Linked DNA regions of Oryzias latipes. The protein of the gene in region 4 interacts with the protein of the main gene of each other region in a biochemical or structural test. Links are inferred from orthologs where the notes say so. Each region holds a gene or a part of one and is shown on either strand. Other genes may lie near its edges. The genes, in order: rnf41, eif4b, mfn2, prkn, mfn1, ube2j1 and ccne1.

What was found.
Region 1: the proteins of prkn (region 4) and rnf41 form a complex in vitro, tested with the Homo sapiens proteins (2 studies listed by BioGRID, with this or other methods). The link is inferred for Oryzias latipes from reciprocal best matches to the Homo sapiens genes PRKN and RNF41.
Region 2: of the proteins of prkn (region 4) and eif4b, one has a biochemical effect on the other in vitro, tested with the Homo sapiens proteins (2 studies listed by BioGRID). The link is inferred for Oryzias latipes from reciprocal best matches to the Homo sapiens genes PRKN and EIF4B.
Region 3: of the proteins of prkn (region 4) and mfn2, one has a biochemical effect on the other in vitro, tested with the Homo sapiens proteins (2 studies listed by BioGRID). The link is inferred for Oryzias latipes from reciprocal best matches to the Homo sapiens genes PRKN and MFN2.
Region 5: of the proteins of prkn (region 4) and mfn1, one has a biochemical effect on the other in vitro, tested with the Homo sapiens proteins (3 studies listed by BioGRID). The link is inferred for Oryzias latipes from reciprocal best matches to the Homo sapiens genes PRKN and MFN1.
Region 6: the proteins of prkn (region 4) and ube2j1 form a complex in vitro, tested with the Homo sapiens proteins (4 studies listed by BioGRID). The link is inferred for Oryzias latipes from reciprocal best matches to the Homo sapiens genes PRKN and UBE2J1.
Region 7: of the proteins of prkn (region 4) and ccne1, one has a biochemical effect on the other in vitro, tested with the Homo sapiens proteins (2 studies listed by BioGRID). The link is inferred for Oryzias latipes from reciprocal best matches to the Homo sapiens genes PRKN and CCNE1.

Annotation. Positions count from the first base shown.
Region 1 is NC_019865.2:22,245,519-22,249,795, reverse strand, and holds the start of rnf41 (E3 ubiquitin-protein ligase NRDP1), read left to right. Parts: upstream 1-1,477; 5' UTR 1,478-1,752; intron 1,753-3,428; 5' UTR 3,429-3,448; coding exon 3,449-3,538; intron 3,539-4,277. UniProt on the Homo sapiens protein: Acts as E3 ubiquitin-protein ligase and regulates the degradation of target proteins. Polyubiquitinates MYD88. Negatively regulates MYD88-dependent production of pro-inflammatory cytokines.
Region 2 is NC_019863.2:29,761,177-29,765,181, reverse strand, and holds the start of eif4b (eukaryotic translation initiation factor 4B), read left to right. Parts: upstream 1-1,205; 5' UTR 1,206-1,289; coding exon 1,290-1,302; intron 1,303-3,130; coding exon 3,131-3,295; intron 3,296-4,005. UniProt on the Homo sapiens protein: Required for the binding of mRNA to ribosomes. Functions in close association with EIF4-F and EIF4-A. Binds near the 5'-terminal cap of mRNA in presence of EIF-4F and ATP.
Region 3 is NC_019865.2:32,497,029-32,500,261, reverse strand, and holds the end of mfn2 (mitofusin-2), read right to left. Parts: intron 3,051-3,233; coding exon 2,830-3,050; intron 1,967-2,829; coding exon 1,811-1,966; intron 1,661-1,810; coding exon 1,464-1,660; intron 1,392-1,463; coding exon 1,257-1,391; intron 651-1,256; coding exon 581-650; 3' UTR 501-580; downstream 1-500. UniProt on the Homo sapiens protein: Mitochondrial outer membrane GTPase that mediates mitochondrial clustering and fusion. Mitochondria are highly dynamic organelles, and their morphology is determined by the equilibrium between mitochondrial fusion and fission events.
Region 4 is NC_019873.2:12,968,318-12,971,817, forward strand, and holds part of prkn (E3 ubiquitin-protein ligase parkin), read left to right. Parts: intron 1-413; coding exon 414-550; intron 551-2,721; coding exon 2,722-2,783; intron 2,784-3,391; coding exon 3,392-3,500. UniProt on the Homo sapiens protein: Functions within a multiprotein E3 ubiquitin ligase complex, catalyzing the covalent attachment of ubiquitin moieties onto substrate proteins. Substrates include SYT11 and VDAC1.
Region 5 is NC_019862.2:9,083,667-9,087,700, reverse strand, and holds the start of mfn1 (mitofusin-1), read left to right. Parts: upstream 1-1,234; 5' UTR 1,235-1,392; intron 1,393-1,799; 5' UTR 1,800-1,808; coding exon 1,809-1,956; intron 1,957-2,055; coding exon 2,056-2,191; intron 2,192-2,463; coding exon 2,464-2,626; intron 2,627-2,765; coding exon 2,766-2,890; intron 2,891-3,026; coding exon 3,027-3,135; intron 3,136-4,034. UniProt on the Homo sapiens protein: Mitochondrial outer membrane GTPase that mediates mitochondrial clustering and fusion. Membrane clustering requires GTPase activity. It may involve a major rearrangement of the coiled coil domains.
Region 6 is NC_019882.2:20,275,698-20,279,197, forward strand, and holds the end of ube2j1 (ubiquitin-conjugating enzyme E2 J1), read left to right. Parts: coding exon 1-96; intron 97-2,036; coding exon 2,037-2,315; 3' UTR 2,316-3,470; downstream 3,471-3,500. UniProt on the Homo sapiens protein: Catalyzes the covalent attachment of ubiquitin to other proteins. Functions in the selective degradation of misfolded membrane proteins from the endoplasmic reticulum (ERAD) and is essential for cells to recover from ER stress.
Region 7 is NC_019861.2:36,308,424-36,312,453, reverse strand, and holds the start of ccne1 (G1/S-specific cyclin-E1), read left to right. Parts: upstream 1-1,230; 5' UTR 1,231-1,338; intron 1,339-1,655; 5' UTR 1,656-1,691; coding exon 1,692-1,705; intron 1,706-1,918; coding exon 1,919-1,997; intron 1,998-3,301; coding exon 3,302-3,367; intron 3,368-3,543; coding exon 3,544-3,689; intron 3,690-3,763; coding exon 3,764-3,899; intron 3,900-4,030. Other genes in the region: uncharacterized protein F13E9.13, mitochondrial, read right to left, coding at 16-88. UniProt on the Homo sapiens protein: Essential for the control of the cell cycle at the G1/S (start) transition.

The DNA.
Region 1 (4,277 bases), on a different chromosome or scaffold from region 4:
TCTACTGGTATGGAATAGCAGATGCCTCAAATGTACAAAAAAATTTAGTATTGCATACTTCACTTAGAACAAATGGTGAGATAATACAATGTATACATAAAAAAATGACAATTTCAAGCAGCCTTTAATGTGTTTTTTATTTTTTAACTCTTGTTCTGAGATGTAGGTACTCCCAGTTGCTGCTAACAACTGATTGACCTACTTTGGGTTGGCCTATGGAATAGGGCAACTACAGAGTGGTGTTTTACAAAACTAAATCCCAGTATTTGTTGAAGATAATTTCTTTTTCCATTTCCAAATTGAAGGCTAAGATTATTACTTTATAACAATAAATGTCAGAGATGGGCTAAAAAAGTCAATGTCCCAAGAAGACAGCCTAAGGACACCTTTTCTTCTCATTTGCACTATTTTTTTTTTTTTTTTTTTTTACAGATTTGCAGTTGATGTTTGCAGGGCAATAAGACCAGCAGTTGTCTTGGCAAACAGCTAATCACAATTAAGAAAAATATGAGATTCTGCAACCAGAGATAATTCTCCACAGGATTTAACCTGTAAAGATGGCCAAACCGCCGCTCACTGTAGATGGATGTTACTTTCTGAATTTGGAAGTGGGAAGAGTCGAATACCTTGCTGACAATTCTGCCTTCAAGTCAATCAAAGTGTTAAATTTAGGGAACAATTTTGGGTGTGATTTTTATTTTTTTATGCAGGAGTGACTAATGCAGCAACAATGTTGGACTTGCAACAAACGCTGGATGAAAAATGGGACGCCATTACACAGGAGTGTGTAACCAAACTGGGGACCGGTGGCGACTGAGGCTGTTGTAGCTGACTACTGAGGTTCCTGTTTATTAAATTAATTGTTTTCTGTCTTTTGACATTTCAATCATTCAAATCACCAGCAGCAGAATTTAGAAAAATGTTCATGGTCTGGAACCCACACTCTGTATTTACAATGGCTCACATGTTCCTTTCTGCTGTTTCCTTTGGGTAAAGAATCATGAAAAGTTTTGTTAAAGTTTACTATGTATGCAGGGCATAATGTTATTAACATGATAAAAAAAATATGTCAGAAAATGTTCCATTACTTCATGAAAAAGGCAGATGAACAAAGAAAGTACAGTAACTGACATTTCCAAGATAGAAAAAAGTTTAAAAACAAAAAGAAATATCTTCAATTATTTCTATCAAATTAAACTACACAAAACAAAATAAAAATAATATACTGTAAAAACTAAAATATTTCCTGGGAAAAAAGTTTTTATTGTGTGTCAAAATCCTTAGAATGTAATCGCTTTCTGGTTTTCTAAAAACATGCCTAAATACATCTGGGTGGTCATTTTAAAGTATAACTGTTTCTCTATATGGTTAAATAAAGGTTAAATTAACACATAAAAAACGTAATCGGTCCTCGACAGCACGAAGACTATGGAATAGACCAATTTACAAACAAGAATAGGGGACAGCGGCAAAAATCTATTCCGTTTTTCAATCTCATTTCGAACACATCTTTCATAACATATATAACAGGCTAAAGGAAAAGTGATCATTAAACCCCATTGGAATATTATCAACTGTTTGATTTGAAGAACAGAATGACATAGACCTTCAGAACCTGTGGTAGAGTCCTCCTCTTCCTGCCAACGTTCAAGTGTAGGATGTAGCAAGACGTGGCTAGCACATTGCTAGCGAAGGTACAACGTTTTTAAACATTTGTAAACCTGACAAGGACCTGTTTTGCTTCATGCCTAAGTAAGTATAGTAGTGAATTTTATTTTTCTCATAGTGTTTTTTATTAAAGTCGCTTTCATAAATATTTGTGCTATCTGAGATCCGTCGGGTTAGCTTGAGTGCTAACATTCATGAAAACCACTGTTTTGGTAGATGCTAACCCTATACCTATATTTGACATAAGTCAGTTCCTAATAACCCGTGACATGTGTTAATTTTTCTTTCTGAAGAAACACTAAATTTGTTATTTACTTTTATGTGTTTGTGTAAAATAGTTTAACATTATATATTAGTAAACTGTCAAAGGGAAAAGAGCTCCACGTAGCTAACACTAGCTTTAGCGGTACGCTAACTTTTGCTAAAGCTATCGTTTAATGATGCTAAAATCGAATTGTCAGGTGAATCTAACTCGAACCGAATTGGTGTCAGTATCCTATTTGGAAAGTACTCAGATATTGAAATCCAATCCTCAGATTTTAACCCAGTATAAATGTGGATGCCGATGAGATGCGGCTGAAAAATAACACAACTTCGGCTCAAGGGCACCGCTTTTTTATGCTGCGCATCAGCAGAACTGTTATCACGTAGGCTATTTTTTTTTGTCTCGAATAGTTTGTCTTTTCATATATGGTTAAATAAAGCTCTTAAACCCCTTATATTATCTGTTCTTGACACAGTAATTCTGGGAAAGAGTTGATTTTCTGGGGGTTCTTTTAAATCACAGCTATTTAAATATGTCAGCAAACATGGGAATTTATTTCAATGCTTTTTGTCCCAAAAAGCTAAATTAAACAAATAACAAACAACTTTACATCAAGTTTTTGATTAACATTGGTCTTTATTTATTTATTTGCCAGATTTTAGCATTAACGAGCAAATAGCTGTATAGGTATAGGTATAGTTTTACTTTCTTTAAAAAAAAAATATATATAGAGAGAGAGAGAGATAGATATATATATAGAGAGAGATATTTAAGAGGTACTAAGCATTTTTTTAACTAAAGTAACTCATGCAGAGAAATAATGTTTTCACCCTTTTCTCCTTTTTGCAAGTTTGGTAATTTTATTGTATGAATGGCATGGAAAAATATGAACACAATGCTTTTTAAGTAGTCCAAAACCACAAAGCTTCTTGTTGAAGATTTTTTTTCCCATGAAACTGTTGTGCTTTTCATTTTAGTAGCTCAGATGACTAACCTCAACAAGGGTGATGGACACATTTTTGCACAGATTTGGGCTCAAACAGTTTAATTACTTGCTGTTGTAATTTTCTTCAGCTTGCTGACTGATGTTTTCAGACTTCTTGTTCTTAGTTAAATCCCTGTGAGACCTTGACTAAAGCAGTTTTATGCGGTCACATGAAGTAGATGTTTTTTTTGTTGTACAAAATAAATCCATTTGTTTATGTTTTTAAACAATTGTGTAAAGGGTAAAATCTCAGTATGCCCTACTTTTATACATCCATTTCAGCACTTATTTTATGTAAATGAAGATATTACTAAATGATTTGAAAGTCTAAAGTCATTGAAATTACATATAATTAATCATTCCCATTTAAATGCTGAAATTTAAAGTGTAAAATTGTATTAATTGACATGTATTAATACAATTGTGTTGTTTCCTTCTTTGTGCATCACAACCGTTTGAAGTACTGACATTTTACTGTTTGTTTGTGTGCTACCTGTTGTTGATGCTCAGGAGGTTGTGGGTAGTGTACCATGGGGTACGATGTTACGAGGTTCCAGGGTGAGGTGGATGAAGACCTCCTCTGTCCTATTTGCAGTGGAGTGTTGGAAGAACCAGTGCAGGCAAGTTTACTTTTACAAGGAATTGGATATACAGTGATCCCTTGCTATAACGCGGTTTGCTTTTCACGGTTTCGCTACTTCACGGATTTGCATGGTGCATTGTGTTCTGCATTCTGATTGGCTAAAAAGTCACTCCGCTTCTTCTCTACCTGTGCGTCAATAACGTTGCAGTTTAATATGTGCACGTACGTAAATCAGCTTGCCAAATTTTCATTACTACGTGCAAATTCTCTTGATGGTGGCAAGTCGGTGTATAAGGATCTTTTTGCAAAGCAGAAAAAAGAGCGACAACAACTGCCTATCACTATGTTCTTCTCCCGAACAAACACAGCTGCACCGCGGGCTTCAAAAGAAGAAAACACTGCAGAGCTGAGTCAGGATGCAGCGGCTCAGTCTGAAGAGCAGTGAAATACACCTGAGTCACTATTTGTCCCACTGTACTTTGTATTTTTTTCATAATCATTTTAAATTTTCTCCCGTTTAATCCAATACTCGGGTCGCGGTGGGCGGGGCTAATCTCCGCGATTTGAAGCCTTCTGTTCACATTCATTAAAATTATTATTTGACAGTACAGTACAGAGTTATTTGTTGAAAAAAAGGTTTCTAAAGTACTTTTATTTGTGAAACAAATGCTTGAGCCTGTAAATTGGTTTGTTCTTTCTTTTCAATGTATAATAGAGTATTTAATTGTATAATAATAGTTTAAAAAAAATAAAGGTTTCTACTTCACGGATTTTGC
Region 2 (4,005 bases), on a different chromosome or scaffold from region 4:
AGAATAGCAATTGGTTTTTGTCTCTTGGGTCACATTTCATATAACATTATAAATAATAACATTGTTAAAACACAAAAAATATAAATAAAATGCTTAAGTTTCCACTTTGTGGCCTCTACAAGAAGCTTCAGGTCTGTGTTTTGAATTTTATAAGAATTGTCACTTGTTTTAAAGGTTGTTCACTCTCAATCCTATCAGCTTTCATAAATGGTGGCTTGTTAAAAATAAGCAAAAAGGTTATAAGGTAAATATGAGGACAAAATGCAGCCTTCCCCTTTGATGGGATGTCTTGTGTAAATGAGTTTTATGCATTGATGCCTTTAGTGGGAGTGGATGGCAACCTGAGAAAACGCCCTCTGAAAAAGCGGTTATTTGTTTGCTTTATTTACAGCTGCTGCAGTTATGAAGAACTGAGTAAAAAGGTTTACTGGTCTTGATACTTTTGACCAATCAGAGTACTTTTTTAAGATATGCGCAGCACAATATTTAAGTGATTAAGAGGTAAGATTTTACTTTTATTTTGTTTTGTACGTGTGTGTGTTGCATATTTATTAAATAGCCTACAAGCCGTGTGTAAACTTTGCACATATGTCTGAAACAGATTTCTACTTGCAAATATTTTTTAAAAAGCTGTAGACAAAACAAAGAAAAACAAAAAACAGTAAAAATAATATACAAGTGTAAATTTATGTATTAAAAAAGGTAGTTCAATTGTATAATTTTAGAGATTTGGACCACTGTGCATGGGTCCACAACGCCAACATTGGTTACCATTACAATATATTTTTTTTCACACTAAGTTCCCTAAACCAGTACAAGGCAGCTTAGTTTAAACAGCACCTTTTATACAGGTGATGTGTGCAAACAGAAAAAGCTTTGGCAGTATCAAGCAAATAAACAAATTAAAAAAACGTATTTACGTATTTTAAGAACAATTTTCAACATGATACTAAATTTAAAGAAAAGCGTTTATTGATTTTTTTATTTAAAGAAAACAATAATAAAGTCATGCATATCATTTTTTGATTCCCCACCATAACGGCTGTTTTATGTTTTATTTTTCAACTATAAAAATTTAAATGTAAATATAGACCAGAGTAAATATTCAAAAATACATATTTTTGGATTTCTTTTTACAAAATTGTGTGTGGGTGGGTGGGTGTTAGGCCCATGTAATGTCCAAGCAGGAAACTAGGGAGGAGGCCGAGGCGCGCAAACGGCGATGCGCGCTCCCGACAATAAACAACTGACGCTTTCATCCGGGAACTTTATGGAACTCGCTCTCCAACATGGCGGCGTCAGGTGAGGTTTATGTGGGTGAGCGCCGTGGGTCGGTTATTAGAAACGTGTACAGCGAGTTACTTCAAAACAAATTTTCAGTAAACGTCTTAAAAATGACACGCTGTAGCCTGATCGGCTAACGTTCTTGTCTCCGGCCTGAACGCTTGTTTGGTGGCTGTTTAGCCCGCCGAAGACGCAGATGGCTGGGGTTAAGCTAATGACGGAGCAACTGGCTGTTATCGCAACGTTTTCGTGGATAAATCGGAAAGGAGGCTCTGGGGTTTGTTGCTATGCGACCTGTTTGTTTTCGCTCCATATAACATGGACTGATCAGGGGGACATAGGTTGCGGGTCGTTCCCGCAGAGCTGGCACACTGCATGTCAGTTGCAGAGCTACTCAGCTAGCCGTGGCGCTCGCGCTCAGGACACCGGGCGCAAGCGCGAGTTCTGAAGGAGGGGTTGGGCTGAGGCGTCCAGGCCGCCTGAAGTAGAGGCTCCCCACGTGTGCGGCGCCGTTCCCTTCTTAGCTGGCTGTGGTGAAGCTGGGCCTGCTGGGTCGCATCCGAAGCGCCGAGCTGTCTGCGTCAGAACTGGAGTCGTGGTTGGTTCTTTCAGCCGGACAAGTCCGACGCAGTTGATGGCGCACTTGGATCCCAGCGCTGCTACGTGCGCCACTAGGCCCTAAAACCTAGCCGGCTAAGCAGGGATACTTCCCCGTCAGCACTCTTCTGCTGACTAAGCCCGCATAGACACAAAAGACAAAAGCGATCAGCCCAAACAGAAACCTCCCGACACGTGCTCATATACTACTCCCGCTAAGTTTTGCCCCTTTAGTGCAGCTTTTTGGTAAATTACCTAGTGATGCAAGCACGTGACGTTCACTATACCGAGGCTTTTCCTATAGAAATAGAAGATCAGTCTGGTTTTCTGTACACCTGACAGCCGGGATTTTCACAGAAAAGCACAACCAGCTCTGTCTCTACGCCTTTTCTGCCTCAAACCAAAAACATCCAACCTGCTCTGGTTGGATCATGAATGAAGCCTCGTGAGAAACTGGGGGCTTTGTGAGGAATGTTACACTACTGTCTGACCTTCAACTCTTCATATTTGATTGCTTTGGCATTGATTAAATGTCATGAAACCAGCTTTTGCCCCCTGTATTTTTTTGTGGCTTGCTGTTCTGATGGATTTATTTTAAATGGCTTCCTCAAGAGATGTCTACTGTAGTGAAGGGTGTGTTCAGCATTTCAGGCCCACGTGAGCTAATAGGAGTCAAGCGCCTTCTGATAAGTGGCTGGCTGCCCTTAGTTTGCCTCATCTGCCCTTTGCAGCAAATGTGCAGTCAAACCTACTGAAGGTGATTTTGTTGTAAGAAAATCCTGTTGGCTGCAGGTGAAGATTCTGGGAAAATGGACGTGTCCTTCGGACTGCCTTCCACTGTTGCGTTGTGATCGTGTGCAACAAACTTTGCATGTCGAGTTGGTTTAAAGCTCTCATCGTTTTGACTTAAAGGTGCATCGTGTTGGTGTAATTTGGCAGTTGGGCCTGCAGGCCACTCCCTGAACATTTCTCCAATGGGGAAATAAGTGTAATATTTATCATGTACACATGGTGCCCCCCCCCCCCCTTATCTAACTCTGCTCCACATCTTTTTGCACAGAGGAAAAAACCTGCATGCTTCAGGACAGACAGAACAGCAGTTTTACGAACAATAATGTCGTTCTAATAACGCCTCTGTTTGGGCAACACAAATATTATCTGCCGGTACGCTCAGCACCAGGCTGTGAAATTTGACTAACTTGAGGATGACGTCTCCTAACTTGATGTGTGGTGTCCGTCTATCTTCTAGCTAAGAAGAAGAACAAGAAGGGGAAGACCTTCAGTCTCACTGACTTCCTGGCAGAGGACTCTGGAGGCAACCCCGCCGCGCCTCCCAGCTACCCAAGCAAGTCCACGAGTTGGGCAGATGATACTGACGACCTGGATGGAGACGGTGAGCAGAAAAAAACGAATGGTGTGTAGTTCAGTGTTTTTTATTCTCTTAATGGAGGAAAAGTTTGAGCTGGGGATGTAGTTGGACTCTTCTGAAACTGCCTCAATACTACGGAGTGCTGAAGGAAACGAGCATCAGCAGGCTGGTAAAGGCAGCGGGATGCAGGCGACGTTCAGCTGCAGAAAGCTCACATCCAGCAAAGGATGGAGTTCTGCTTAAGCTTTCATAAAACTGCTCTAAAATGTGGACTTGATCACACTTAATTCCTTTGTTTGCTTTTAAATAGTGATGTGAGGCCAAACCTGTGAAGAGTTTGTACTCTGAAAATTAAAAAAACAACATTTCCAAAGTACGGTTTTGTGTATTCTTTAAAAAATCAAAATCCTATATTGCGAAGGCCAAGAGGAAAGTTCATGTTGTAAAAATGTCAAGGAAAAGATTGCTGTACTTAAAAAGCAGCTGTTTGTGTGGTTTTTTTGTGTTTTTTTTTCTTTTTTCTTCCAGGGCTTTTTGCTGTGAATCCTAAACCCAAAAGTTTTTATTTTTTGTTGTTGCTGTATGTGTTGACCCTTTTAACACCTGGGGGGTATTCCAGAAAGCACGTTTAAACTACCCCGACTTTAACCCTGAACTCTGGCTGAAATCCACCTGAACTTGCTTACTCTGGGTATGTCGGTTCCAAAAGACCGGATATGAGTTGGCGTAATTACGCTGGACTTGGTAACCCTGGG
Region 3 (3,233 bases), on a different chromosome or scaffold from region 4:
TGTGATTAGCGTGGTCTCCTACTTGATTGCTGAGAAAACAACTTAGAGTACAGTTAGCGTGGGCATCCTATACACTTGTGTATGACGTGCACACCCTGTGCGGGTGCTAATTGAGCTTGCTAACGACTAGTGTGGCATAGAGGCACACTATTCTTACAAACACCTCACAATACACTTAACACACAACAATGGTACGTTCCGTTTTCATGTCGTCCCTAGGTGGCCGTACGAGCCTGAAGAGAACTGCAAGACACACCTGCGCTCCCCTTAAGGTGCAGCTGCCCCTCTCTATGACCCCCCCACAGGCCCAGACACCCCAAAAACCCACAGCTCCCGTACGGGTCCACTCTCACACGCCTTAGCATGTGACTAAGGCTTTACCTGAGAGCCTTAGAGGACATCAGCGGCAGAGGAGGATGGTTTGTGTGAGGCGGAACACCAGCACAGATACACCTTTCCCATCGTGGTTCTTTATTTTTGAAATCGAGACGACCAATCAGAGGCATTACATTAGAGCAAAAGTCAGAAGCTGGATGGGGCAGAATAAGCTCTGCCCCCCTCCACAGGCGGGTCAGGTGCATCACTTGCTGTGCTGCAGGTACTGCTGAGTGAACATGTTCAGCTCGCTGTCCAACCAGCCGGCCTTGTTCCTGCAAAAGCACAAAAACAGAGCAGCAGTCACAGCGCTGTCTGATGGCAAACAGCTTTAACCCTCAACCTTTTTACCATCACTGAAGGAAGTTTGGGCTTTTTTATGCTTCATATTTTCCTGTAGTTCTTTATCAGTGACATGTTTTAGCCGTCAGAATATTGGAAACCAGATTGAATCCATTAATGTCTATGCTGATGCCAGTCTTTTGTTCTGTGAGTTTCTCAAAAGCACTGATGTATTTTCTCCCTTTGACCCCCTGTCCTCTGACATCTGCTCTTCAGAAGGACACTTCATCAACCCCAAAGTCTTTGTTCACCTCAGGTTCACCATTTGACAAACAAACAAAAACCTACAGCACGGCCTCCAAGGCTGCTACACTTTCATTGCATGAATATGTACAATGACGACAAAGGATTCAGATTTGGATTCTACCCAGAGGATCTTAACACCTTATGGGGTCTGCAGTCAGAATAAACCGTGGGAGACCCCCCATCACCAGTTTCCTACACTGATGTCTGGGAAAGTAGAACTGTTCAAAAACTCGTCTGTTGTTCACATTAACCAATAATCTGCATTAATCTGCACGCGGGCCTTGGGTTCTCACCGCAGCAGCTTGGCCCTGCTCTGAAGGTTGTCCAGCAGTTCAATCTTGCTGTTCATGTCTTGGATCTCATCTTCCAGGTTCTGGCGGGTGATGTCCACCTGTTGGCAGAGCTGTGCAAATACGCCCGCCAGCTCCCTGCCGACCACAAGAGGAGACACGGTTAGCTCATGTCAGCCGCAGAGACCCCCCGACCCGCTTGAGACTCACTGCTGGACTTGGTGGCTGCAGTTGGAACCGGTGTAGCTGACAATCAGCTGCAGCTTCTCACTGGCGTAGTCTACGAACTGCCTCTTGAAGGCCCTCTCTTTGGCTTTGGTGGTCCAGGTCAGCCGCTCATAGACGTACAGCAGGCCGTACAGACCGAGTGACAGAGCGATCAGCCGCCAGCCCACTGCCTTCCAGATCTGCATACAGGAAGATACAGAGTTGGTGTGTGAGTGAGTTCAGCTCGTCATCGTCAGATCCTCTGCTTTGTTTTCTGTCATGTTTCAGCTGGTTTTTTTATCACACTGGGTTCACAAGCCGGCCTCCTGCATTTGGGTCGGGACACTCACCACACCACCAACCACGAGGACGCCCATTGAGGTACGAGATGTCAGTGAAGCCAGCCCGGTTACCATAGAAACCATTAGCTCTTCCTGAGTCATGGCACTCTGTGGAAACGGCGGCATGCTGCTGCTGACTGGAGTCAGAGCCATGGGCCGAGGAACCTAGAAGGGGCGGCATAGAGTCGGGTCACACATCTGCTTTGGTTGTGATCTACAGCTCGAGAGTCTGAGCTATCAGAATATGAAACAGGAAAGCAGTTTGTTTAGAGAGGTTACGGTCCTTCTATTTACAGCAAAAAATACAAACCAAAGAACCCTCAAAGGAGGTATAGAGCCATGTCATTTGGTCAGAAGAGACATGAGCCTGTTTATGGACAGGAGTAAGCAGAACCTGAGCAGAGAATCAACCTGCAGGTCATTTTCAAACCATTCAGACAAACCAACCAACCGATGCAAACATCCAGATGAGCTCATCTGTAAGTGAGGAGATGAAGGAATTCTGCAGGACAGCAGACAAAAGCAGCAGCTGTCAATGTTGGAGAACTGCAGAAGCAACACGAAAGAAGATCTGTCAGGATCTACATCTGCAGTAGGGAAAAGATCTGTCAGGGTCTACTTCTGCAGCACTGAGAAGATCTGTTAGGATCTACTTCTGCAGCAGTGAAGGGGCTGCATCCTAAACTGTTTAGCTACAAGCCATTAGCTCATGGATGTAATTTTCTTTTTCTTTGAGATTATTGGTTTTGAACAGGGGCTGGGTTGAGGATCTGAATCGGCCCTCTCTTTGGCTTTGGGATTCGAGTCCCTGCAGGTGGAGAACTTCAACTGGTCCGCCTGGTCTGCAGTGTCGCTAGTCTCCAGCAGTGCTGCATCATTACTTGGATCAACTGATTCCAGACAACCTTCTTCAGGTTATCAAACAGGCTGGTCGGGTTAGCAAGCCACCAGTCCAGAGTGACCATCTGACTTCACTGAGAGACAGAATCCTGCAGCGTCAAAGAAGACTTTGATCCAGATGCAAGTACCTGGTCGCTGTAGCCCATGAGGGCCCGCCGTGTGTTCTTAGGGCCCAAGAAACGGTTCACCAGCATGGTCCAGCCCAGAGAGAAGTGGAAGCTGATGTCCTCCTGGAAGTCACTGCAGAGTTTGTCACAGGCCAGGTCGTAGGTGAGGCTGAAACACTGCCGAGGAACCATCTTTTCCACCTGGTCTCTGAGCGTGGAAGGCAGCAGAGGCTTCAGACCCTCTGAGGAAAGAGTAGAGACCTCTTTAGGAGGGTGGTGTCCTGGGTTATGTACCAGTGTGGACCAGTGCACACCACACTGTGGAACAAGATGAGCTGAAGTCCTGCTGCAGATCTTTGCTGCTTTATCTGCTGTTGTTCCTTAGTGCAGTTAGTCTCCAGCCTTTTTCAGGCCACAAACCACTT
Region 4 (3,500 bases):
GCAATCCTGTTTCATGTTTGGAAATCACATTTCGTGCACTACTATCTATTCCTCAGTGTGTTCTGCCACAAACACCCGCAAAGCACACTCATCAAAGGCAAACACACTAGATGGATTCTTGCAAGCGGTATTTTACTGAAACTATTCGTTAAAAAAAAATCAAGTGAAACTTGTTTTTGGACACGTTGTCAAGTTTGCACATGATTTTATGTGTGGAAACCTGTATGAAGTCGGGGGTTGAATCATGCCAGCTGACATAAACATGAAAATGAACATTAAATTGAAAAAATAACTTTATCTTTAACTTTAACTGTAAATTTGAATGTCATTACTTTGCTCTGACACTTCAAACTGCAGTTTGGCCCACCTAAGCACAAACTCACTCTCACGTATGGTTTTCTTTTGTCTTTTAGGGGCGTGGTCCTGGTCTTCCAGTGCTCAGAGCGCCATGTGATATGTCTGGACTGTTTCCGTCTGTACTGTCAGAGCCGCCTGAACGAGCGACAGTTTGTTCACCACGCTGCGATTGGATACTCTCTGCCGTGTGCAGGTGAGAAGCGGGGGGTCAGTGTGGTGACCGTTTGCATGTCAGAGTTACACCTACAGGGTCGTCATTCGCATTCACAGCTTTGCTGCTGCTACAAGATGTCCATGTGGACTTCCTCTGTGCCTGCAACTGTTTCCAAAGCCCACCAGCACCTTTCTGTGCTTCTAAGCTGAGTAACCATTTCCAGAAATGCCCACAGTGTGAAGTTAATAAAGTGAAGTACATGAAGACAATCCTAAAAAACAACAACAACACAGCTAAAGAGTTGCTCGTGTCCTTCTCCAGAGGTTCCGTCAAAAGTGAACAGATTTACTAAATCTTGGTGTAGTATTCCGTAAACAATCCCTCTCACCGAAGCATCAATAACTCAGCACAAAAGACCACCAACTGCGTTTTCCTTTTTTTTTAGGAGGTGTCTAAGATTTGGAGCTGTGGTACAGTCACCACCATGCTGAAAGATTCACCTCCTTCACCACATCACCTGTTTTGACTGTTATTATTGGGTGGTGGAGGACAATAAAGACCAAAACAAACAGGAACAGACCACACCCCAAAGCAAAGAAGAAATGAACATATGCCTCCTTGGGTGTACTTTTTTGTACTAAAAATGCACATTCCATTTGTACACACAATATTGTTCACGATTCTGTTTACTTTTATTGGTAACATTTCTGCTATTGTTCACAATTTAACCTTGGAGGTGAAGAGGTCAGGTGGAGAAGCCTCTTCCTTGGCAAACCTTGGCTTGATAACTTTGGTGCTACGGAAATAGCCAACAAATATAGGAACCAGCCTATGGTTCCTCAGGCAAAGGGTCAAATCAGAACCTTCTGGTCCCCGCCTGGTACTGAGGAAAAAACTGTTTATGGTCATTGGCTCAGATTCAATGGCTCTCCAGAGTAACGAGAGCCTGTTGAGCCCTTCATGGTGGTTCAAACTCACAAACATGGACCCTGATAACAGAGGATAGGGGGGCTGGTCTTGCGTTTCTGGTTAACCTTTCAGATTTGCCCACTGGGCTGTGGATGGAAACCAAATAAAAGGCTAACTGTGATCCTAGACAGCTGACAGAACTCTGACCAAAATAAGCAGGCTTGTAATCTGAAGACTTGATGAAGGAGTCTCAGTTCCCTTACTTGACAACCTGGGTTGTTGTTGTTCACTTTTCAGCACATCCCTTCAGGGGTTGCAACAGTTTATCAGCTTTGACTGATTCAAACATGTGGTTTGGGAGAGATTTTTATGCCGGATGCCCTTCCCGACACAACCCTGTATTTTATCCAGGCTGGGGACCGACACAGGGAGACCCAGACTGTAACTTGTCTGTAACTTGTGTTGTAAAAGTTTGTGGACTCCCGAAAAACAGCAACAACTCAGGACTTGAGAGTATCATTTAAAATGGAACTTGAAGAGTTTACAGAAGTAAACATGTCAGGGCATTGGTACCTGTTCTATGAAATGACAGTAGTATACTCATGACTGGGAAAATCCCAATACCAGGAAAATGCCTGTACTTTTTCAGCTTTGTTTCAACTGTCTCTACCAATTTGCATATAGCTGAGCTATAATCAAAGATGGATGACAACAGAGTTCTTAATAAAACGTAATTTCAATTAGAAAGTTTCTCAACATCTGGGATTTACTTTCTACAAGACAAAATTTCCAACAAACTGCTAGGAAATGACACAAACAGTAATAAAATGTTATTTTTTTTCTATTCTCACCAAAAGCCTTGGTTAGTTTCATCTGCAAAAATTGGAGTGAAACATGAATGAGGTAAGGGCTTTTCCTGCTGGAGGTGCATCTAGAGGTCTGAGGCACCTCACTCCAGTTGGTGGTCAGTAGACATGAAGGATCATGAACTTTAGAAATCCAAAGAAGATTTCAGCCTATAACCAGTTGTCTGTGATCCTAAGTCTGGGGAAAAAAACAGGTCAGAATCAAAAACAACAGTCTGATGACCCAAATCAAAAATGTAAAATGTGGGCAAATTAGTCCTGGACATTGATGAAGAACATGAGTCACTAGCTGGAATAGACTGTGAGCGGCATGGATGTAGGCAGGTACTCACCTGAACCAGACAAAACACCTTTTGTCAACATTTAAACAAGAGTGAGAGCACAAGCGTGAATCCGATCTGTATGTGTGTAAAGACGCTGCGTTTGTGTCTACAGCGGGCTGTGAGGACTCGCTGATCAAAGAGCTGCACCATTTCAGAGTTCTGGGTGACGACCAGGTAAGTGCACCTCAGATTCTCTGCCACAGCATCAGGAACACATGCTGAGCACAAGGGCTCTGACACCCACGTTGAAGACAAGCCGCTGGAGTTCAGAGGCTCTGATGATGACGGAAGAGGGATGAGCCGCTATTGAAACTGTGTAGGTGACCTCATGGGCACCCAGCAGGTCCAGGACTCTTCATCACCACCATTCTGAGCTTTGATGCAGCACCCACCAGCTCGGCCTGCTGACACACGGACGTTAGGGGATGATGCTGCTCCAAAGTGATGTGCACTCGGAGTTTCAGCAGGTCCTCATGCTGCCCTGTGATTGGCTGACAAAGAGCTTTCATCAAAAAGCAGCTGCTGCGGCCATGTGCAAATAAGCCAATGTTTTTTAGACGGACCTTTTTTTCATAGAATTAAATCACAAAATAAACTATCACACAATAAAAGAAGAAACAAACTCTTTTTGTAAAAATATACCTGCTATAAAAATAAATATTCACTCTACAATGTGATGTAGGTAAATCTCACTTGTAACACAAAGGAAGAGACTCAATCCTTCCCACCTGTGCACAGGTAACTTGCGGTCTCAGTCCTCTTTCTCTATCTGTATCTTACAGTATGCACGGTACCAGCAATATGCCACTGAGGAGTGCCTACTGAAAATGGGAGGACTCATGTGTCCGGCACCTGGTTGTGGGGCGGGGCTCCTGCCCTCTGACCCCTGCA
Region 5 (4,034 bases), on a different chromosome or scaffold from region 4:
TTTTGGTCAACAGGCAAGTGAACAGCAATGTTACAAAAAACGAATTAAACCAAAATATGAGTTAATTTAAAAAATCTCATTAATTTACAAAAAAAATTAAATTATATCAGTGCAAGTACAACTTTTGTAATTGTTCTTTTACAAGATTCATGTAGAATAAAAGCATCTGCTGGTGGTGTCTAAATTACGTATAATTCACCTTGTTGGTTTTTTTTTCTAGCTAATTTTGAAAATATTGGTGAAAATTCAAACGTTCAAGGCACCTTTTTGTGAGCCACCCTGAGATCCAAAGGTGAAATCTGTTTGTGTTCTTGACATTATTTGGATTGTAGCTTTTTATTTTAATGCTTTTAATCATCAATGGTATAGCCAACGATCTACATTTTTCTGCTCTACAGATGATGACGACTGGCTACCATGTTAACAGGCTGCAATAACACATGTTTGAAACACGCAATTGTCATACAATTCACAACAATAACATTTCACCTATATCACAATATTTGACATCAAGGTTTGCGTTACACAAAGGTTTTGTAAATGTTAACATTAGGATACATATGGTAAACATCCAACCATGCACCAAAGATGTCAGTCTTTTTGTATTTGTAATCAGTTCAGTCATTTAGTTTTACGAGTTTTTTTTCTAATGTATTAGTCCGTATGATTTCCTTCCAAGGTGCAGTGTAAAAATAATAGTTTGAAAAGGATTTATTATGTTATGAAACGGAAAAGCATGAGACCATGGTAGTTATTCGTTTATTATGCTATATGGAATACAAAATCTTAATGATAATGGTTATTTATTTATACTAATTTATTTGACTTACAATCAGTAAATGAACAAATGCTGACAACTTTAACAGCAGAGGTCTCTTTAAAGGAGTTATGCATTTTTCTGGGCGCCTATTGGCTCTGTTTGCATTCCGATCCTTAACTCCGCCCACCGGACTTTTGCTTGAAAAAGCCTTCATCTGCAGAGAAGGGAAACGGAAACACTGATACATACAGTTTCAAAATAAAGAAACATGATCACACAGATTTCAAATTTACTTTCAAGTAAGTCGGCATTGTGAAATATACTAATTATACATAAAAAATAAATATATAAAAAATTACCAAGGGATACTCGTAAACTTCCCGAACAATCAGCAGTCATATATTTTTGTGACAATGTCACACTGAGAAAGTTTTTATTTTGAAGGTCTGTACCGGAAGTTGTCTTTAAGTTCGTAATAAATTGCCGTCTATGCCTTTGCTGGGTACAAACAGAAGGTTAGCCAGGTTCAAAGCAGGACTTTTTTTTATAGTGATGGAAGTTTTCTGTACTGCCTACATGGATTTGTAGTGTTTATGTAATGAGAAGACAATATCAACTGTTTTAGGACTGTGGTAAGGAAAATAAAACAAAATTCACTTTTTGCTAATGCTAACTATGTGTTTGCGCTAGTTTGCTAGCTTAATTTGTTATACACTCACGGTTTGGGGACTTACCATATTTTGGTTTTGTGTGTTCAGTGTTATAACTAATGTTAAAAAAAAGGAAAAGTACACTTCCTTTGAGTGACCGATTTCTGTCATCTGCATGTGATACTGCAGGTCGTCCTTGTGTGTCACGCGTAAATTATGCTGTTTTTCTTTGGTAACTGCACATGTGTGTTTGACTTGTCAGGCGGGTCAGCTTTCCCACGTGTGTCCGCAATATTTTACTCATGCTACAGCTGTAAACAGGCTCAGTCTAAATAGCATTTCTGCTGATTTGGACTTTACCTACATCGAGTCCCTCTGTCTCTCCACAGTTTGGCACCATGTCTGCAGCCCCCCAACTCCGGCGGACAGACTCATCCCGGGGGGAGTTCTCCCCTCTAAAGCACTTTGTTGTGGCCAAGAAAAAGATTAGCGATGTGTTTGAACAACTGCTCAACTATGTGAAAGAGACCTCAGAGTTTGTGGAAGGTGGTCGTTTTCCTGAATGTCACTATTTAATGATATGTGAAAATGAACGCCATGTTTACCTGTTTATGTTATTCTTTTTTTTTTTTTCTGTGCTGACAGACATCAGTGGGAATACAGCTTTGGAGAACGTTGCCACCCCGGATCAAAAGTCTGAGATCCAGGCCTATGCGGACAAACTTGCAGTCATTAAGGAGGTGCTTGCTCGGAGGCACATGAAGGTAGCATTTTTTGGCAGGTGAGTTCATGTTCCACAGAATTGTTGACTTCTATACATTACCTGAGATTTTTGGGGGATGTGTCGTAAGTATCGTACTTTAACAAGCAAGGACATGTTATTTTTACAGCATTTTCACACAAAAATCATAAACAATTCAAATATCGCAATAAAAAAAACCATTAAATAAAACCTGCTTTTAAGGTAAAAAATAATAATAGATTTAAGTTTAAGGGCTTGAGATGACACTCCAGCACAAAAAATTAGTTTACTTGTGTGTTCTTTGCTTTTAGAACTAGCAATGGGAAAAGCACAGTGATCAATGCGATGCTGAGGGACCGCGTGCTGCCCAGTGGAATTGGCCACACTACCAACTGCTTTTTGAGTGTGGAGGGCACAGATGATGACAGGTCTTATCTGAAAACAGAGGGTTCTGATGAGGAGAAGAGTATTAAGGTACATTTTGGTACTTTGGTTTTTACATTTCCTGCTTTTAAACTGTTTTGATCTAAATTGAAGAGAACGTTGGCATTTTGTGTAATTTTCTTGAAACCTTTTAGTCATCAATCTAATTTAACTCACAATTCCTCCACAGACTGTAAACCAGATGGCCCATGCGCTCCATATGGATGAGAGTCTGGACGCAGGCTGTCTGGTCCGTGTGTTCTGGCCAAAAACCAAGTGTGCGCTACTTCGAGATGACCTGGTTCTAGTAGACAGGTGACAGGATCAGTCATTTGGTTTTAAAGTGTTCTGCATTATATTTTGCAATTCCCAAACGTGTTAATAATTTTTTTTTACAAATGTCAAATTGAATGTATATATTTTCTGCCTCTTCCTGTCACTCGTTCTTTAGTCCTGGGACAGATGTAACGACACAACTGGACAGCTGGATTGACAAGTTTTGCCTTGATGCTGACGTCTTCGTGCTGGTGGCCAACTCAGAGTCCACTCTCATGAACACGGTAATGACTGTCACCCACACAAGTTTATGTTTAGTCAACATCCTAAAGGATTTACAGAATATGTGGGGATCTGGGTTAACCATTGTAGTCCATTTGCTTTAGGGGTTAAGGAAACATTCAAGGTTAGAGAATTCCTTCAGCCAGAAACAGGCTAGCTGGATGACTTCTGAACTAATAAATGATGGAAAATTGTGCCTCCCCCCCTGAAATGTTGGTTTGTTGTTAAGTTTTGATCTTGTGACATTTTCACTGTTTTAAAGTGAGAATAACTACAAAACTTTGGTTTCAAAAGTTTCCTCAACTCTCAGCCAGTTTTGTAATACTTAGAGAAAACAAACCTTCATATTTCATTTCAATTTGTCAATTCAGACAAAGTAATTATATAGAACACTCTTTTTTTTATTGAATTAACAGTTAAAAAAAAGCTGTTTCTGATTTTAAAATATGATTAGATAAATGCTTTTTTTATTCCTGTATGGAGGTTAACACATACATTTTACATTATGAAAGAAATAGAAAACAATAAACAGCTCTGTTTCATATCATTGTGTTTCTGCAGGATTATCTGAACATTTAAATAGCTGAGGCTTATTTTACCCATTGTGATGATCAGCATATACAGACAAGACTATAAATATTTGGACAGAGACTCATTCTTTCTAATTTTGTTTCTGTACTTTATCACAGTGAATTTGTCCCATGAAATGAAGGGATTGTGTTTAAAAAATACGTTTTTCACATTTTTATGCAATCTTTTTGTTCAACCCATGGAATAAAAGCTGAAAGTCTGCACTTCAATGGCATCTGAGTTTTTTTTTTTATTTAAAATTCACTGTGGTAATGTACAGAAACTAAATTAGAAAGAATGTGTCTGTGTCCAAATATTTATGGTTATGACT
Region 6 (3,500 bases), on a different chromosome or scaffold from region 4:
GGACCTGCAGGCGGCGAGGAGCTGTCGGCACTCCCCCAGCAGGACACGTCCTCACCCGCTGGCCAGGAAGCGGCTGAGACGCCGCAGGCTGAACAGGTGGGTGTCCGGCTGCTGCCGAGGCCGCTCACGGCTGCAGCCTTTATTTTGGAGGACGTAAGAGGTAGAGTTGCCAAAGGCAATTATGTCGTCTGCTTGTCAGCTTTAGTTCCTGACTTTAATCAACCAGTCAGACATCAGCTCCGCCTCCAGCAGCAGATGCAATTTAGAGGTTTGAAGTGAGTTTTTTTTCCCTCATCAGCAGCTCCTCCAGCATGTGTGAGCTGCGTTGCCTAAGAGGATTGATTTTGGTGCCAGATGCTGTTCACACAGAGACTGAAGCAGCAGAGACGAGGGTCAACTTAGATTACTGCTTCTGCGCTTGGATCAACTGAAAAGGCCAGAATGGGAGCAACCATCTGCTGCTGCAGACTGGGTGGCCCACTTTTTACCCACAGAGCTCCTCACCGGTTTTTCCATTAGTTTAGAAATATTAAATATTTGCAACCAACCTTCCACAAAGTGAAACCTCATAGGCCTATGCAAATGTCATCATCCACTGAACAGAGTATCAGCAGGTGACTCAGAGAAATTGAAGACGTCTCTGTGCATCAGGGACAAAGACTATTATTGGATGCCCATCATCAGCAAGGCTGATTCAGTGACATTACTGCAGGGGAGCTGTGGAATTAACACTAAAATGTGCAGAATATCCATCTCCAAATAATTCCTTCAATTGGTCTTAACTTTTTAGTTTCATAATTTAATCATCTTCAGTCTGACGATAGAAGAGCTGATGTTCCAGGACATCTTTACGTCATAGTTTAACTCTCACCACCTAGCTAAAGTGATAATCCTGCCCCTGTTAGCCCTCCAAGTCTCAATGCATTGCCTAAAGCTACATTCACAGCGAATGCGATTTGTGTCAGTGGCGTCCAGTTTTAATGTTATGTCACCTTACAGACGTGATCAGAGGTCCTACAGCGCAATTTGAGCGCTACGCACAGGAATCTGGCCAGCAGGTTTTGCGCGGTGAAACAACACGACACAGCGGCTAATACATTGTTTCACGTTTCGAGTTCAAATTTCGAAACTTTGTCAAAGAATTCCCATCGCATTCATTCCAACCAGGACTCCGCTTTGGCCTGTGTCATGTTCAGTGGGTGGAGTCCAAAACCAACATGGAGGAGAGTCTGATTCTTCTTCTCCTTAACTTTATGATATTTTTCTAATTTGCATCCTCTAATTTTATTCTTATTAGTCTTTTTCGCTCCTGGGTCTAAAGCGGGACAGCAATTCATCAAACTGGGTCACAGAGAGACAATAGAGCTGCTAAAAACGCCGTCATTCAGGCATAGTAGTAGAGGATGACCTCGCCGTACCGGGACAGTCTCTGATCTCTCACCTGCATCCGTTTCCATGTAGGAAAGAGGCTAAAAGTTCTAGGCGGTAGCTCCTCCCACACAGTGTTCATACACCAGCAGGTGTATGAACACATTTTTGGACTGTAAATATTAATCGTATCAATATTTCTCTATGCTATTTGCTCTGCCTGAAAACTCTATTTCAATTAAGCTGCAATACAGTCCAGAAACAAGACTTTTAATAGAATAAATTTTTTTTTACAATAATCAAATTAAATTAAATAAAAGACTAAAAGGCTACTAAAACTCGATCGGGGAAGTTTTACAAGTCTTTAGCTTTTGGGCCTTTTTGTAAACTAGAAGTTATACATTCTAGCAACAAAATAAGTGTAATAACTAGTGTCCAATAGGGGGCAGTAGTTAGTGCAGCGGAAAACAGCGGAAAAAACATCAAAGACTGTTAGTTATGGAAACTGTTTGTGTCTGTTTGTAATTTCTTCTGGATTAAGAAAAGATTTTAGCTAACGTTTCCTGTGCAGAAGAATCGCTAAACATCATGATGTAATTGTTACTCCAGATCATCTCCAACATGATTGGTGGACGTCAGTCACTGCATTCTGTTTGTCCTGTTTTCAGGCAGAGGGACCAGAGGAACCAGAGGAACCCCAGCCCCCTGCCCCTGTGGACTCCATCGATTCTGTCCGGCAGCGCCGCTCCCCGCAGCAGCCCGGCTCGAGAGACAGCATTCAGGTGGCGGCCAGCAGGGTGGCGTCCGTCCCGGCGCCCCGCCAGCCTCTGGACCAAAGCCACGCCGGCTCTGCCGTCCTCATCCTGGTGCTCACACTGGCTCTGGCGGCCCTCATCTTCCGCAGGATCTACCTTGCCAACGAGTACAACTTCAACTACGAGTTGTGACCACGACCCCATCCTCCTCAATTCAGACTCAGAGGTCAGCTGGAGTGGAAGCAGAGCTGAGGCAGCAGCTGACTTTCTGCCCTCGCTGCTCAGCCAACAGGAAACCTCCTCCGGGGGGGGGGGCACTGCACATCACAGCACCTCCTTTTAATCAGTGTGAATTTGAACCCCCCTCCTTAGAACAGGAGGCTTGTTGTTTAGGATTCAGCTCAGCGTCTCCCACTTGTAACTGCGGTGCACCCCGCGGCTGCTTTCGTTCCCATTATTTAATTACAATTGTAATATGTCAGAACATGGAATTATGGGAAATTTCCTCAGACACAGCCAGAGAATCCTCCGAAGGCCACGAGTTAAGCTCCTGTCCAGTTTTAATGGGGCCAACAAACGGCAGAAGCGTTTTCCATCCGTCACCTGGAGTGAACGTGCTGCATTAGTTTTAGTTTCTTTAAGGTGGGGGGGCTCTTTCAGAATAAATGCATTCGTTTTAAATGGTGTGAAGCTTTTAAATCAGCGGGGCGGCTCTTTAATGGAGCGAGCAGCAGCTCTTCCTCACTGCCTGAGCACCGCCTGCCTCTGTGATCGTGTTGGCGTGGAGGGGTGTCCCTGCAGGGGGGGGGGTTCACGCTGCAAACCAGCCAGCAGCAGAGAACTCCCAGATTGTAATTTCTGGACCATTTAATCCGTCATACTTTCAATCTTTAGTGGTGGTTCATCAGCAGCAGCAGTTCTCACTCTTCATTTTTGTTTAAAGGCACCCCGTTGTTCTTTACCCCTTCATAGCGCCCCCCAAAGGCTGACAGGGAGGGTTCAGCTTTCACATTTTCTACATCAGAGTTCCAGGTTGACATGAACGCAGCTCTGAGGTTCCACTTGTGCGGCCTTTGATGCTTCATGCCTGATGGTCGTCTCTGCAACCTGCTGCTGAGCTGCACAGCCTTCAGTCACATTTAGGAAACAGGAAGAAGATAAGGGGCTTTGCTCGTCACTCAGCAGCCGCTCCCATGTTCATCTGCTTTGTCAGACGAAGAACCCTAAAGACAAACGTTTAGTCAAACCCGCCAGGTCAAGACTAAACACAGTAAATCCTTCTTTTCAGACTTTCTTGGAATTCATAATTGGGTCTTATTGTTTAATAAAGTTATTTAAAGTTTTAAATGTGTCTGTTTTCTGTCTATATTTAGCAAC
Region 7 (4,030 bases), on a different chromosome or scaffold from region 4:
AACGGGAGACTTTACCTGGCAACGCTTTGACGTGAATCATTCCGATAACCACTGACTTCAAGCGTCCGAAAAGCTCCAGGAACTTCATGTTTGGGTTTGGCTGAAACTCCAACTGCAGGAACTAAAGTTCAGCTTCCACCGAGGGACCGGATCACGTGACGGAGCAAAGGTCAGGGGCAGAGGTCAGCGGCACGCCGCGTCCACCACGTCTGTTAGGATCCTTCAGCCAACGGGAGACGCAAAAAAAAGAAAGAAAAACAACAAAACGTCTCTGCAGAAAGAAAAAAGTTACTAAAGCATGAAGTCACTTTAACTTTGTCACATTTGACAAACACAAGCATTCATAGACACAAACACACTCTCTCACGCACACACACAGATACATCCAGACAGATATTTTTATATCTCAAACTCATGGAATCAGGATTTAGGAAACTATTTATTAAATTATGGAAAAAAAACATCTTCTTTTTACAGTCTTTTCAGACTCATTTTCCAAATGAGTGGATTAAAATATGAATCCATTTCTTTGCAGCATTAAAAGTAAAAAATGGGAAAAAACCTTTATTTTTAACCGCCTTAAGTTTTCAGTAGATTACATGTCGCTTGTTTCCCGAAGATCTTCTGCTTCCTGGAACAAAATCTTTAAGTGTTACAATGATCAAAACAGTAACTTAATCAATATTTGTTTACCCAAGTAAAGGTAATCAGTAAGGGGCAGTAAAGTTACTCTTAAAAGCTCAATTTAACCAAAAATGTGTAAGGTAAATGTAACGTGTTACTTCCTCTCTCGGCGTGTCTCTGTGACGCAGAGTAAAGGAGGGAAAAAAGAGACACTTATGTGGCTTAATAGGCGGGAAAATCTAAAAAATCTGCAAAAATCATCAAAAATATTCATATTTTCGCTGGTTTCCAGTCTTCTTGGCGGTTTTTCCCGGGAGACCGCGGCTTTGTTTACATCTGACAGGCTGGCCACGCGGAGCCGGCACACTTCCGGCCCGGTGGCCACGCCCCCGCAGCTGTCAGCGCCGCGGCCACGCCCCTCCCACAGCTGCAAAAGCGGGATTTTTCTTTCCCGGCGGCGGAGCAGCAGCTGAAGGCGCCAGCAGCCGTCAGAGCCACTCAGAGTCCCGCGCGCGTCCGTCAGGAGGTCCATGGAGGAGAAGGTCGCCAGTCTCCGAGCTTTGGCGCCAGTTTGAAGCGGCTCCGCCCGGAGGGACGCTCGGGTTTTAGGCGCCAGCTCCAGGGAAACCCGCCCGGCCTGCACAGGCTCTGTGAGCGGGCAGCTCCGCCTCTGACTCCCGGGGACTCGGAGCGAACTTCAAGGAGTCTCTTGGGGTAACTTTTCGCTTTTCATCGGGGTGTTACGCGCTGAAAGGGAACTGTGTATTCGGTGTCTCGGTAAGTCCCGCTCTGCGTGGCCGCTGGCAGGTAAAGTTCCCGCGGAGCGGCTGGAGTGATTGTGAGGGCTCCGGGGGGCTCGCGGTCCTCTGGGGGGAGGGCACGCGCCGCTTCTTGTTCTCGCGGGCTCGTGCGCCCTCAGAGCCCGCTTCTTCCCCGCCACTTCTGCGCCGGGCTTTGTCAGGAGGAGGCGCCGCTCGGGTGGGGGTTGGGTGTTTTCTGGAAGCCCGGAGCTAACGCTGGCATCCCCGCAGGTTTGCTCGGAGTGTGGGCCAGCGCGTCCGAGGACCATGCGAGGACAGCGGTGAGTTGCTGTGTTTTTTACCCCGCTTCCAGCGCTTAATATGTCGGGGGGAATGAGCCGCTCTGACGGCGCCGTCCGTCGGCGCAGCCCGGTTAGCCGTCCGGCTAACTAACCCCCGTGGCCTCCTCCTCCTCGGGGGCTAAACTCTGGGAGCCCGCGCGGAGGTTCTGGACGCTTCTGGACCACAAAGACACGTCTGTTTTTTCTCCACAGGGAGCAGAAGGAGCCCACGAGTGTCGCCCCCACGGAGAGGTCAGAGAGGAGCAGAAAGAGGAAGGCAGATGTGGCCATTGTACGTGAGCGGACCAGCTGGTCTGAACTGGTCCATCAGACTGGTTCTGCTCTCTTTATGGTCCGGCAGAACCTTCAGCTATGGAAGCCCAAACATGACAAAACTCACAAACCATATTTAAGGCCACAAAAATGGATCCATTTAGCCAGAAATTCTTTCCAAGACGTGATTTAAAATTATTTAAACTTATATTGATTTTTATTTCCAGGAGGAGGTTGAGGTTCTACAAACACCCCCACAAAACGGTTAAACAGATTTGCGTTTTAGTTTTCTTCGCATCCAAACTTGACACCATTTTTTTCCCATAGTTTCCATTGACTATAAAAACGGCTTTGGATGCTAAATTTGTCTCATGTAAACACGATAAAACTTTCATTCATCATTAAAAATAACGGTTTCTGCGCTTGGAGGAGGGGAGTTTTTGAGACGTGTCTAAATTAACATATTTGTCAAAACTGCTTTTTGTATTAAATGAGCCACGTGACCAACGACCGGATGGCGAGGTGCTTCTTGGTAGGAGCTGGCGGACTTGTTGCACGGCGGGCGCCACACAGCTCGTCAAAAGTTGAGCATCTCGTTGGATCCAACAATTCCACATTTCCCAAAATCTGTTTCCTCCGTAGCCCCTCCCACATGTGAGGAGCTCGCCACTCCACGGCCTGAAAAAGAGGCCGCCGTCTCCCTTTGTTCACGCCCGTTGGCGTGTTTTTGAATGACGTGTCGCGTCAGTCGCTTTGTGTACAATTGTGATTTAATGGAAACGGTGTAATTGCAAAAATGTTTATTCTGCAAACTTCTAGAATTTACATAAAGTTTGGCGCATGATTCAAAATAAAAGAACTGATAAAAAGGTTTGTTTGGTTTTTAAAAAAAAAGGACTTTATTAATTTATCTGAACGTTTGTCTCATTTTAAGATCGTGGAGACGAAACGAATAAACATGAGAACAAAAGCTACAAAAATAAAACTAGAAAGCTGTAAAAATCGTAAACACTCCAAATATGAGACGTGTTGGTCGTGAAATTTACTAAGACAACCTGATTTGTGCCAAAAAAAAGAAATTAAATAAATATGTTGATTCCTATTTAATCATTTCATATTTTTTTAAATATCTTTCTGTAATTGATAATTGATGAATGGAAAACAGAAGATAATCTGGAATCAAAGTTGTTTGAGCTTTTATTTTGATAGTTTCATCTTCCACTGTAGACATGAAGTGTGTCTTTCATCTGTGATGAAGATTTTGTGTTTTTGTGTCTCAAAGCTGCTCAGAAGTCGCCGTCAGTCGTTGTGTTTGCGTCTCAGTTCCTACAGGATCCTGACGAAGACGAGGCAGAGATGACGAAGAAGAGGCAGCATCTGGACTGTGAGGTGAGGCTCGTTCGACACCAAATGTGGCTCCAGGACGCCGTTTGACGCCGTTTCTGTACGGATGTTTCAGATCCAAGTCTGATCTGCCGGAAAGCTGAAAATCTCTGGTTGACGACCAGGAAACGGCGTCCCGTTTGCCTCTGAACTGCTGTTCTGAGCCTCTCTTCTGTGTCAAGGTGGACTGGAGCCCCGACTCGGACCGGACCAGCCCCCATCGGTGGACGCCGGAGCGCCGCCAACAGATGAGTGCCGGTTTCCTGCACCTCAACTTCCACAACATATTCGTGACCCCGGTCCACTGCGCCCCCCTGCCGGCGCTGTGGTGAGTGTAAACCCCGCCTCCCCGGGCTCGGCGCCACGGAGAGCCGCCGCTAACGGTCGCTCTGGCTTCTCCAGCTGGGCCAGCAAGGACGTGGTGTGGAGCAACATGCTGGCCAAGGACAAGAGCTACTGCAGGGACGTCCGCATGCTGGACAAGCACCCCCACCTGCAGCCCAGGATGAGGGCCATCCTGCTGGACTGGCTCATGGAGGTGGGTGCATCCGGAGGCGGTCGGACGCTCCCGCCGTTACCCCCTTCTCTGAAAAACTGAACGGCCGTGGGAGTGACGGTAAACCTGCTCTGCCGCATTTCTGCTGCAGGTTTTGCTGTGCGGCGTCTGAA